Danio rerio: one gene and its partners. The protein of the gene in region 1 purifies or fractionates together with the protein of each later gene. This does not show direct contact. Links are inferred from orthologs where the notes say so. Each region holds a gene or a part of one and is shown in the gene's direction. Other genes may lie near its edges.

Evidence for each region.
Region 2: the proteins of rccd1 (region 1) and kdm8 purify together in Homo sapiens (co-immunoprecipitation; 3 studies listed by BioGRID and IntAct, counting the BioPlex papers as one, with this or other methods). This does not show direct contact. The link is inferred for Danio rerio from reciprocal best matches to the Homo sapiens genes RCCD1 and KDM8.
Region 3: the proteins of rccd1 (region 1) and spag9a purify together in Homo sapiens (affinity purification with mass spectrometry; 3 studies listed by BioGRID and IntAct, counting the BioPlex papers as one, with this or other methods). This does not show direct contact. The link is inferred for Danio rerio from reciprocal best matches to the Homo sapiens genes RCCD1 and SPAG9.

Annotation. Positions count from the first base shown.
Region 1 is NC_133200.1:3,812,364-3,816,733, forward strand, and holds the start of rccd1 (RCC1 domain-containing protein 1), read left to right. Parts: upstream 1-1,535; 5' UTR 1,536-1,601; coding exon 1,602-1,791; intron 1,792-3,691; coding exon 3,692-3,880; intron 3,881-4,334; coding exon 4,335-4,370. UniProt on the Homo sapiens protein: Plays a role in transcriptional repression of satellite repeats, possibly by regulating H3K36 methylation levels in centromeric regions together with KDM8.
Region 2 is NC_133178.1:43,226,648-43,229,962, reverse strand, and holds the end of kdm8 (lysine-specific demethylase 8), read left to right. Parts: intron 1-1,768; coding exon 1,769-1,918; intron 1,919-2,031; coding exon 2,032-2,124; intron 2,125-2,497; coding exon 2,498-2,662; 3' UTR 2,663-2,692; downstream 2,693-3,315. UniProt on the Homo sapiens protein: Bifunctional enzyme that acts both as an endopeptidase and 2-oxoglutarate-dependent monooxygenase.
Region 3 is NC_133178.1:17,102,853-17,106,510, reverse strand, and holds part of spag9a (sperm associated antigen 9a), read left to right. Parts: intron 1-1,974; coding exon 1,975-2,042; intron 2,043-2,134; coding exon 2,135-2,283; intron 2,284-2,569; coding exon 2,570-2,741; intron 2,742-3,658. UniProt on the Homo sapiens protein: The JNK-interacting protein (JIP) group of scaffold proteins selectively mediates JNK signaling by aggregating specific components of the MAPK cascade to form a functional JNK signaling module.

The DNA of each region.
Region 1 (4,370 bases):
TTCTGAATCAGGACAGATATTAAGTCAAATTAGACTCAGAAAAAATTTTAATCTGATTCAGACCAGAAAAAATGGAATCAGATCACGCTCAGAAATAAATAATAATCAAATTCAGATAAAAACTTTATAAAACCCATTTAGAAATTTGAACAGATGTGAAACCAGGTCACTTATAAGAATAAATGAAATAATAAATTAAATCTGATTTAACTTCTGTTCTTCAAAAACTATTTTTTAAATATTGCATTTTAATCTGAATCATCTTTCTGAATCAGATCAGACTTAGAAAAAGTTGATTCAGATCAGATTTGAGAGATTTAGATTAAAAAGCAATATTAAATTTGATTATGAAGAAGAACAAATATTAAATCAGATTACACAGAAAATTATATCAGATTCAGACACATTAAACATGACAAATTTAGATAAAAACTCACTATTATAGATTCTGAATGAGAATAAAAGACATTTAAGCAGATATGATGACTTAACAAGCAGATTGTGACTACAAATCAAATAAAATCAGATTCAGAAATTATTTGATAGATTTATATTAAGCCACATTAGTATTGTTTTTATTCATACCTGATATTACATCAGATATTACAACAGGTTCCGTTCAGATTAGATTCAGACATGTAAATTTGATAATAAATACCCAGTAATTAATTTTAGAATCAGATTCAGACCAGAAATAAAACTCAAAATGACAAAATATACAGATAAGTACGGGACATGAACCAGACATAACAGATTAGGATTCAAATTCAACATTAAATCAGATTAATGTAAGAAATGAAATCACATTTCACAAGTTCAGATAAGACGGATTAATTCAGATCTATCAGATTCAGATCAGAAACTAGCTAAGACTAGCACTACCCTAGCACACATCACGCACTCCCCTCAAAACCTTTATCAAAGTAAATTAACAAACGCAAAATCTCAGCACACTTGAAAAAGAGATAGCAAACAAACGTTTTATACAGTAAGAGACATCTTTAACACATTTTGAACACATTTAAGTGAGATTAATCTGAAGTGTGCACCTGTAAACTGAACTCATGCTCGCAGCCGGTGACTTTAAACCACTTTATTATTTCTACACAATAAACGCTCACCTGGCGCTCCAAAGCTGCTGAAGCCGAAGCCTCAATATTGATCTCGTGGTAAGCGAAGTGAAATCAGTGTAAATGTCAGTTTTTGTGTTTTATTTACAGTGGTTACGGACGCCGTTATTGACAGCAGCCCTCAGATCCGCCATAGAAACAAAGTGAAGCAGGAAACGCGACGCGCTTCCTTCTAATGGCTTCAGAGCAGATGTCAAAATTAAAGTTTTAAATAAGGTAAATAATATAATATAATATAATATAATATAATATAATATAATATAATATAATATAATATAATATAATATAATATAATATAATATAATATAAAAGTATGATTAATTCTATGTCATTATTATTATCGATTGTATTTTATTTCTAAACGTATTTCATTTACACTTTTATTTTGACAGCAGACATCGGTTTGGCTTCCTCACAACTTTTCGTGCACAAAAGCAACTGACAGTTCTTTGTGTTGACCAAAGTAAGTCAATGAGTTGGTTTGGCTTTGGGTTTAATGGTTTTGGTCAGATCAGTCGGGCAGATGTGAGCGGACAGGTGAAGTGTAAAGTGAACTCACCTGTGCTGATATCAGATGATGAGTGTAAATCAGGTGTGAACAGATCAGACCGCAGAATCAGAGCCTGCTGGAGCTCCAGAGCTGATCTTCAGCAAACACAATGTAAGTCAAACACAAGGGGCAAACCTATTTTCTCTGACAGATGTTTTTTTTTTTTTTTTTTTTTTTTTTTTTTACTTAGTTTTTATATAATATAATTTACACAAACTACATCTAATCTGTAATACAGTTGTTTACACTAATATGTCTATATTTATAAATAATGTATGATGGTAAATCATACTAAACCTTTACTAATTTAGGACCGTTAGGATTACCTTAATGATTTACATTTGCTAAATGCCAGAATAATGAGAGAATTTGTTTTGCATTTTGTTTTTTTGAGATTTTTTTTAATTAATTTCTAGACAGTCAAAAGTTTACACACATTTCCTTGGTATTTTTTTTTATCTTTGCTTTTAAACTATAACTGGTCAAGTGTTTTGGGTCTCCTTCCACAAGCTTCTCACAGTAGTTAGCAGGAATTTTGGCCCATTCCTCCTGACAGAATTGGTGTAACTGAGTGAGATTTGTTGGCTGTCTCGCTCGCACAAGCTTTTCAACTCTGCCCACAAATTTTCTATAGGATTGAGTTCAGGGCTTTGTGATGGCCACTCCAAAACATTCACTCTGTTGTCCTTAAAGCACATTTGAACTAATTTGGCAGTATGCTTAGGGTCATGGTCTGTTTGAAAGACCCATTTGTGGCCAAGTTTGAATTTCCTGGCTGATGTCTTGAGATGTTGCTTCAGTATTTCTACATAATGTTGTTTCTTCATGATGCCATCTATGCTGTGAAGTGGACCAGTCCCCTCTGCAGCAAAACAGCCCCACAACATGATGCTGCCGCCCCCATGCTTCACAGTTGGGATGGTGTTCCTAGGCTTGTGCGCTTTCCCCTTTGTCCTCCAAATGTAACACTGGTCATTATGGCCAAACAGTTCAATCTTAGCTCCATCAGAGCAGAGGACATGTCTCCAAACATTAGTCTTTTCCCAGTGTAATTTAGCTAATTGTAATCTGGCTTTTGTTGTTGATTCTGGCTTGTTGATTTTCCCATGTCGTCACACAAGGAAGCAGTGTGTTTGAGCTTTTCCTTCAATACTATTCTACAGTTGTGCCTCCAATAAACTCAAATGTTGTCAATTAGCCAATCAGAAACTTCCAAAACCTTGATACCATCATCTGAGCTTTTTCAGAGGCAGAATAATCTGATTGTGTGTAAACTTGACTTTCAAGAAAAGTTATAACAATTTCTCAAACAATCTCTCTTTATGTGCCTTTTTATAGTGCATGTAAACTTCTGCTCTCAACTGTACTGTAATTTTTGTGGACTTTTTATTTTACTATATTATATAAATTGTGTATATAATTCAAACGTCTAGTTTACAAAATTGCAATATAATTTAAGTAATCCAACAATGTGACCACAAAAAAAACTTGTCAACTTTTTGTAAAATGTTTTTTAAACTCCACGTGTGTATATATATATATATATATATATATATATATATATATATATATATATATATATATATATATATATATATATATATATATTATATTTATTTATATATATATATATTTATATTATATATTTATTTATATATATATATATATATATATATATATATATTATATATTTATTTATATATATATTTATTTATATTATATATTTATTTATATATATATATATATATATTTATTTATATATTTATATATATATATATTTTTTTTTATTTATATGGCAAAGATAAAATAAATCAGAGAAGTTATTAAAACTATTATGATTAGAAATGTGTTGAAAACATAATCTCTCCATTAAACAGAATTTGGGGAAATAAATTAACAGGGGGGCTAATAATTCTGACTTCAACTGTATATATACACACAGACACATATATTTATAAATATAAACACAGAAATAAATAAATAAATAAATATGCTGTTGTTTGTGTTTCAGCTGGCAGTGGTGTATATTTGTCAGGGTGTGTGTGTGGACCGTCAGCTCAGGTGTGTGTGAGTCAGGGCTGCACAGACGCTCTCATCAGCGAAACACACCTGACGCTCAGCTTCACAGACAGAGTGGAATTATGGGAAATAAAACCGCAGCAAAACCAGCTGGTGTGGAAGAGGGAGCACGAGCTCTCAGGTAAAACTGCTGATATACTGGTGTCTGTTATTGCTGTGAGAATTCTGTGTGTTTTATCTAAATCAGAAAGAGCTTTATTGCCAGGTATGTTCACATAGTATGCTGTTAAATAAGTGTATATGTGTATAGCAAGTAGTCACAATTTCCATCAAGTGTTCATGAGATGGATTGCCTAAGGGGAAGAAACTGTTTGTGTATTAGGGTGCTCTGAAGCGTCGACTAGAAGGTAACAGTTCAAAGAGGCAGTGTGCTGGGTGTGAGGGGTCCAGAGGGATTTTGGCAGCCTTTCTGCTCGCTCTGGATAAGCAGAGTTCTTTGAGTGTAGGGAAGGTTGTACCAGTGATTTGCTCAGCAGTCCAAACTAATCAATGTAGTCTTCAGAGGTCAGATTTGGTAGTTGAGCTAAACCAAACAGTTATTGAAGAAATGGTGGTGATGATATTGAGTGTTTCAGCAGAACACACTGCCGCTCTGCCGCTGGTGTCCGGCG
Region 2 (3,315 bases), on another chromosome or scaffold:
GCATGTCAGTACAATTATAAAAGAAAACGCTTCAAATCCCAGTTTGTGAACTTAAATCAGGTTTATTTTGTACATTAACATAACGGATGTCCATAAATTAATGTATATCCTGTCACATTTGTCGTACAAAAACAGTGCAAAGATAAACGTGGGGTGTTTGCATGCACTTATTGTGAGACTCATCATTGCAGAAAGGCTTGAATTAACTCCACAACAAATATATCAAATAACAGTTGGGAACGTTCCTACTGTAGTAAGGGAGATCTACTTCATTCCTGTCTGTCACTATGGTGTTTATCTATGTAAAGGCTACACACATCGGCGAGATCTCTGCAGCTATGGCACGCACAGTAGCTATGTTTTTTTATCCACCTATTTTATGCAATTGTTTATTTTATTTTGCAAATGCGCATAAAAAAATGCGCAACAAACTAACTGGATAGAATAAACTTTTTATTCGATAAGAAAAAATGTGCATAAACTGCGATGGAAACACTTTTACCGCACAAGCTCCAGCATGCGCATTAAAAAAGGTCATGTGATTTTGTCAAAAGAGATCACGTGATGCTTAAAATGTGTGTGAATGGATAAAACGTCAGGCTGAGCACATTATAAAACATCTGAAATGTTGTTTTGATCATTATAAAACGCCTTACCATTTCAGTATTAATGTTATTATATTATTAATGACCTCCAGAATCAAGAGCGCCTGTGCTCCGCGTCTGACACTTTCAAACGCCACTGCGCGCTCACTTCTTGTCAGGATTGTCTTCTGAGGCGCATTCATTTAGAAAAGATTGATGCAGCTTCTCCTACTGCAGCAAATGCAGTTTTTACTGTTGATATTTGGCGCCAGTTAATCAGGAAGTGACGATTTTGTTCGCTTTGACTCGTTGGATGGAAACGATGCTTCATTCGCACAACTTTTATGCGATAATCCAGTTTTGCGCATAAAGTTTATTCGCATTTTTGGATGGAAACATAACTATTGATGGCCACGGAGAACCAGCTTTTTTGCGTTAAAGGCACAGTCAACAAAAACAGCTACAATGTCCAAATGTCCCAGATTTAAAAAGGTATATTAAATAATCTGAAGGGTGTTTTGAGCTGAAACTTTACAGACACATTCTGGGGACACAAAAGACTTATATCAAATATGAAAAAGGAGGGTAAAATAGGTGTCCTTTAATAACATTGCTGAAAATGGTTCTTCACTTTTAAAAATAAATGTTTACAAGACTTTTTTTTATATTTACGGTGATGGCATAGAATCATTATGGGTACCAATAAGAAGATTTTAACAATCTAAAGACTCTGTTTCCACTATGAAAAACTATTAGTTAAGAGGAAAAGCGCATGGATTAAAATAAATCTCATAAATATACATAAGTCAATTGCACTTGGCACTTTTTGCATAATAAGCATAATTTTAAGACTATACATTGCATACATCTGTTTATATTACTCCACAATCAGTATTATATATTGTTTACATTCAGACATATTTATATATTTACATTTCATAGTTACATTTCCGTCACTTCTGTGTACATATGTGTATGTCGTGTATGACTTCACTGTGGACGGCAAAGTAAGAATTTCATTGTACAGGGAAGCATGTTTCCTTACTGTGCACATGACAATAAACAAATTGCATTGAATCACCTTTATTTTAGTGTGTACGTTTATTTGTAGCATTTGACTTGTAACATCATGCAGATACAATAGCAGTAACATTGGCTACCATTCACCGATTTTTCATTCATAGGTTCCAGAGCTGAAAGAAGACATTCGTATCCCAGACTATTGTTGTCTTGGAGAGGGAGATGAGGATGACATTACAATCAATGCCTGGTTTGGGCCTGGAGGGACTGTCTCTCCTCTTCATCAGGATCCTCAACAGAATTTTTTGGCACAGGTAAACGTGAGCCAAATGGTTCGTCTGGCATTTGAGAGGCAAGGCAGTTTGATGGTCCCCCCCCCCCCCCCCCCCCCCTTTGATGGCATTATGGCTTTGTTTTTGAATGTCAGGTGGTTGGACGAAAATACATCCGGCTTTACAGCCCAGAGGAAACAAAAAGTCTGTATCCACACGAGTCGCAGCTACTCCATAACACCAGTCAGGTAGAAGATGTTGTTTATATTGTTATTTAAACATAGACGCCAACATTACAGTAACAATTATAAAAATAATGAAAAACAATTAGGCAATCTTTGAGTTTCAAAATTGACAAATTTAGTTGATTTTGCATGCAATACTTATTTATAAAATTATCAGGAGCCGATAAACGCAGATAACTTTGCAAATGAAACACTAATTGTGATTACTGTAGTGTTATTTTGAATCTTTTTCATACTGTACTTCAATTAACTCATTAAAAGGCATAAAATCTGCCTTTTTACCCCTGTTAGTGTAACTTAAAAAAACTATTTACACTGTGCATTGTTGTACATTATAAAACTTTTAAAAAACAAACAGTTTGTTTTCCCCCACCAGGTGGAGGTGGAGAATCCAGACCTGGTGAAGTTTCCAGATTTCAGTAGAGCCTCTTATGAGGAGTGTGTTCTCTGTCCTGGGGACGTCCTCTTCATCCCACTACAGCACTGGCATTATGTGCGATCCCTAGAGCTCAGCTTTTCTGTCAGCTTTTGGTGGTCCTGATTTGTACTGAATAAACCAGCATTCTCAGTTTGTGTGTGCTTGTCTGTGTTCAAGTCTTAGTTTTAGTTTTTTCACGATGACCCACTTCTCAGCACTTGCATCACTTTTTCAAAATACATGTGTAATATTCTATTAATATCGTACTGGTGGTATGTAATCTACGGCCTATTCACACTATGCTATCCGAACCGTGCCCAGGCCTGTTTCCCGTATTGTTTAAGAAGTGTGAGTGCTCTGAATCGGGCTCAGACACGGTTCACTTGGCCGGTCCTGGCCTGGTTGGACGAGGTGGGCCAGAGGTGGGTTTATTTGGGCTTTGGCGCGGTACGCTTGTGTGTGTGAATGCAAAACGCACCTTAGGTGGTATAGTTGCCTTGAACCGGGCCAAAGCACGCTTGTCGCCACTCCCATCTCCCCCGACGGCCCGCACTCACATTACATTCGGTCCTGGGCACGATTACATCATCGATGCTGTGGTGTGTGGTGTTCAGTAAGCGCTCTCGCTCAGCACAGTGGACATTTCTTCAGTTATATTGTTTGGGATGCGGTGACATGCAGTCAAATATTTCGCTGAACAGATCTGCCACTTTTGGCGCTCATAAACAACTATTAAGCTGCAGGAATTTGGAGGTTTGCTGAAGGTGCGCAGCTGT
Region 3 (3,658 bases), on another chromosome or scaffold:
GGTAAGAGTTTAAAACAATGATTCATTGGTTAATGAATTTACTAACATTAGGTTTATTCAAAGTCCCTTTAAGGCAAGTTATTTTACTCGGCAGTCATCTTTGTAACGTCTCTCAGGCAGCATGCTCTGTATGCTTGGGCATTCTGTTTGAATGGGGAAACATCAAATTCTCCAAAATTACTTGCCAAGCTAATGATTATATTTCATATTACGAATAACCAATAAAATAAAACAACAATTGTCATTTTAGTTTCATTCCTAAATGTTCTTATCACACAAAATCTGCAGAAACTCACATTTGGTCCAAACCCCTCCCCCGGAGAATTGTCATTCTATAGTGATCGCTGATTGGCTCCTGTACTAAAGGCGGGGCTTCATTCGCCATATTGACAGTTGCACTTTTCCCTATTCAAAAGTATATGAGTGACACGTCATCTGTATTCTATAGTCTTTGGTTTAGTTTTGTTTAGTTTAGTTAAAATTTGACAGGACAGAGTATTGCAGCACAAGTCCCTGAAATGCGTCAAACACACACTCAAAAAATAATTGACTAATAAAAATACTAAAATATAACATTTATTGACACACTAATTAAAAAATATCAAACACTATAAGGGTGCTTTCACACCTGTGAATTGATTCAGTTGTTCCGAAACAGGGATTGAAATTGTTACACTGTTGCTCTTGGTGTGGTTTGCTTTCACACTGCAAAGTTTCTAATCGGACCAAAAGAGCTAAAACAAGTCACGTGCGAGTAAACTCTCCTCACATTGGTCAGAGTTTCAGGTTTTTTTTGCAGAGTCCCGCTCAGCTGCCAGGAGAGGGTGTGGATTGGTGGTGTTTGACAAGGTACGTGCGACGTCTGAAGAGTGAGGAGAGATGCGGTGAGAAGGGTGCGCGAAGTACCCTTTTTGAGGACCGGGAGGGAGACGCGAGATTGTTTGTGGGCTTCCGGAGACTGGGGAAACTTCCCGCCCTACTCATAATTCTCTCTTCATATAGCCCTATGCCTATTACATATCCATAAAACAAAGTAATATAACCGCGCTCGGATCGGATCGCTTTCTCACTGCAATCGATCCATTCCAGGGTTTGTTTCAATCGAGCCGAGACCACCTCCTTCAAGCGATCTCGGAACGATTGATTTGGCGCGGATCCGAGAGCGATTGGTGGTTTTACATATGCCAAACGAACCGCGCATACTGGGCAAAAAAGACAGGTTCCGAAGCAAAACTGTAGGTGTGAAAGCACCTTAAATGATAAGTTTTCTATACAACAATTTCAGAGCATGAGAATAAAGGAGAGTTCATGATGTTTAGTTTTACTCCTCTAGGTATAGCAAATGTTTTGTCGCCAAAGAAAGTTGGATGACACTGGAGCCTTAGTTTGAATAATTATGTAAAGCATTTATTAATCGTAGTCCAACATCAACTAAAGCAATAAAATCTAACGTTGTGCTTGTTAACATTAGTTATTGCAAATGTATTACTACTATTATTAGAAATCACTTTCCTGAACGCTCGCGTTCAATCTGCCTTATTGGTGGAATGAACTCCCTAACTGCATCAGAACGACAGAGTCACTCGCTGTCTTCAAGAAACGACTAAAAACTCAACTATTTAGTCTCCACTTCACTTCCTAATCTGCAATTGCCACTCTGGATATACCACTAACTGTACTAAAAAAACAAAAAAAACATTTTTTTTACTAATGCTTTCCTTCTTAGATTTTACAGACCTGAAGCTTGCCTATAGCACTTATTCATTGTTGCTCTTATAGTTGTGTAAATTGCTTCCTTGTCCTCATTTGTAAGTCGCTTTGAATAAAAGCGTCTGCTAAATGACTAAATGTAAATGTAGTAGTTTGTTCATGTTAGTAAATACAATATTTTAAAGTGTTACCATCTTGGTCTTACAGGAGTAAATGTGAGTATACTTAAGAACTGGTAATATTTGATAGTATTTCTTTGCATAGACATGTGAAAGGCCGTGTTTTGGTGGCTCTAGCTGACGGGACACTGGCCATCTTCCATAGAGGTCTTGGTAAGGCACAAGTTTTATTTAACTGATAGTTCAGATACTCGTTCCAGCTTCAAATGATGAAATATAAAGCCACATTCCATGTACTTTTACAGACAGCCAGTGGGATTTAACCAACTACCATCTTCTGGACCTGGGCCGGCCGCATCACTCAATCCGCTGCATGACTGTGGTTCACGATAAAGTGTGGTGCGGCTACAGGAACAAGATCTACATCATTCAGCCCAAAGCTATGAAAATCGAGGTTCAGCATTATGTTTTAGTCTTCAGTAGTCTTAAAATTGTTTAATTACATTTAAATGTGGTTTCCTCAGCATGCCTAAAGTCTGTGTGAAGTTCCTGAGACCCTTATGTCAGTATGTTGATGTCCTTTCAAGTGAAACGGAGTATTGAGTAAGGGCCGGGACTTTGTTTATACGCATCATTCTCTCATAGCAAACCAATGGGAATGTACCTCCGTCATCTACTTGTTATCAACGCTTCTTAATAGCAGATGTAATCAGGGCCTTTGTGTTTGTATGTGAAAACAGAGGTCTTTTGATGCCCATCCGCGTAAGGAGAGTCAGGTGCGTCAGCTGGCCTGGGTGGGTGACGGGATCTGGGTGTCCATCCGGCTGGACTCAACGCTTCGCCTATTCCATGCTCACACCTTCCAGCATCTGCAGGACGTAGACATTGAGCCTTACGTCAGCAAAATGTTAGGTGAGGATGTGTTTATGCTGTTATGTACTTGTCTCCCTTTTTGTTCATTAGTTCATTTTTCTCCGGCTTAGTCTATAATTTATCAGTGCTGACCACTGCGCCACTGTGCTGCCCTCTCCTTTTTGGTATAGTTCGTTTCATATTTAATTTCGTGGTGTTTATTTTTTTATTTATTTTTTTAAATCTCATGTGTTTTGCTCATTTATGTACTCCACAACCGTGATTTGGAGGCCCAATAATGCAGGCTTTTGAAAGCCGGTTTCAAAGTGCAGATTTATAAAAACAAAAGCGTAATTGTTTCCACTACATAAACTACAAAAATGTGATTTAAGGATAATGGTCACATCACTTGCATATCGGTTATATGTTCAGTCTGTATGTGTGAGAACTTGATGATAATCATACTGGACCGCATATGTGTAGGTGTGCAGCGTTTTTTTTTAACTAAATGACATTGCTGACCTGAAAGTATACTCTACTTTGATTTTTCACAGATATGTGAATTTAATTTTAGGAAACGGTTCCATGATTATGCACTGAATTGCAGAACAGCATATAAGCATACATTTTCTATAATTACACAAGCCTCAAAGAAAATTTTCTCCTTTTAAATTATTAATTCACATCACATTAAATAAATATCGCCCCCTGTTTATTTTCCCCCCAATTTCTGTTTAACTGAGAGCAGATTTTTTCAACACATTTCTAAACATAATAGTTTTAATAACTCCTCTTTAATAACTGATTTATTTTATCTTTGCCATGATGCCAGTAAATAATATTTAACTAGATATTTTTCAAGACACTTCTATACAGCTTAAAGTGACATTTAAAGGCTTAATTAGGTTGATAATTGTAACTATGCAGGTTAGGGTAATTGAGCAAGTTATTATATAATGATGGTTTGTTTTGTAGAC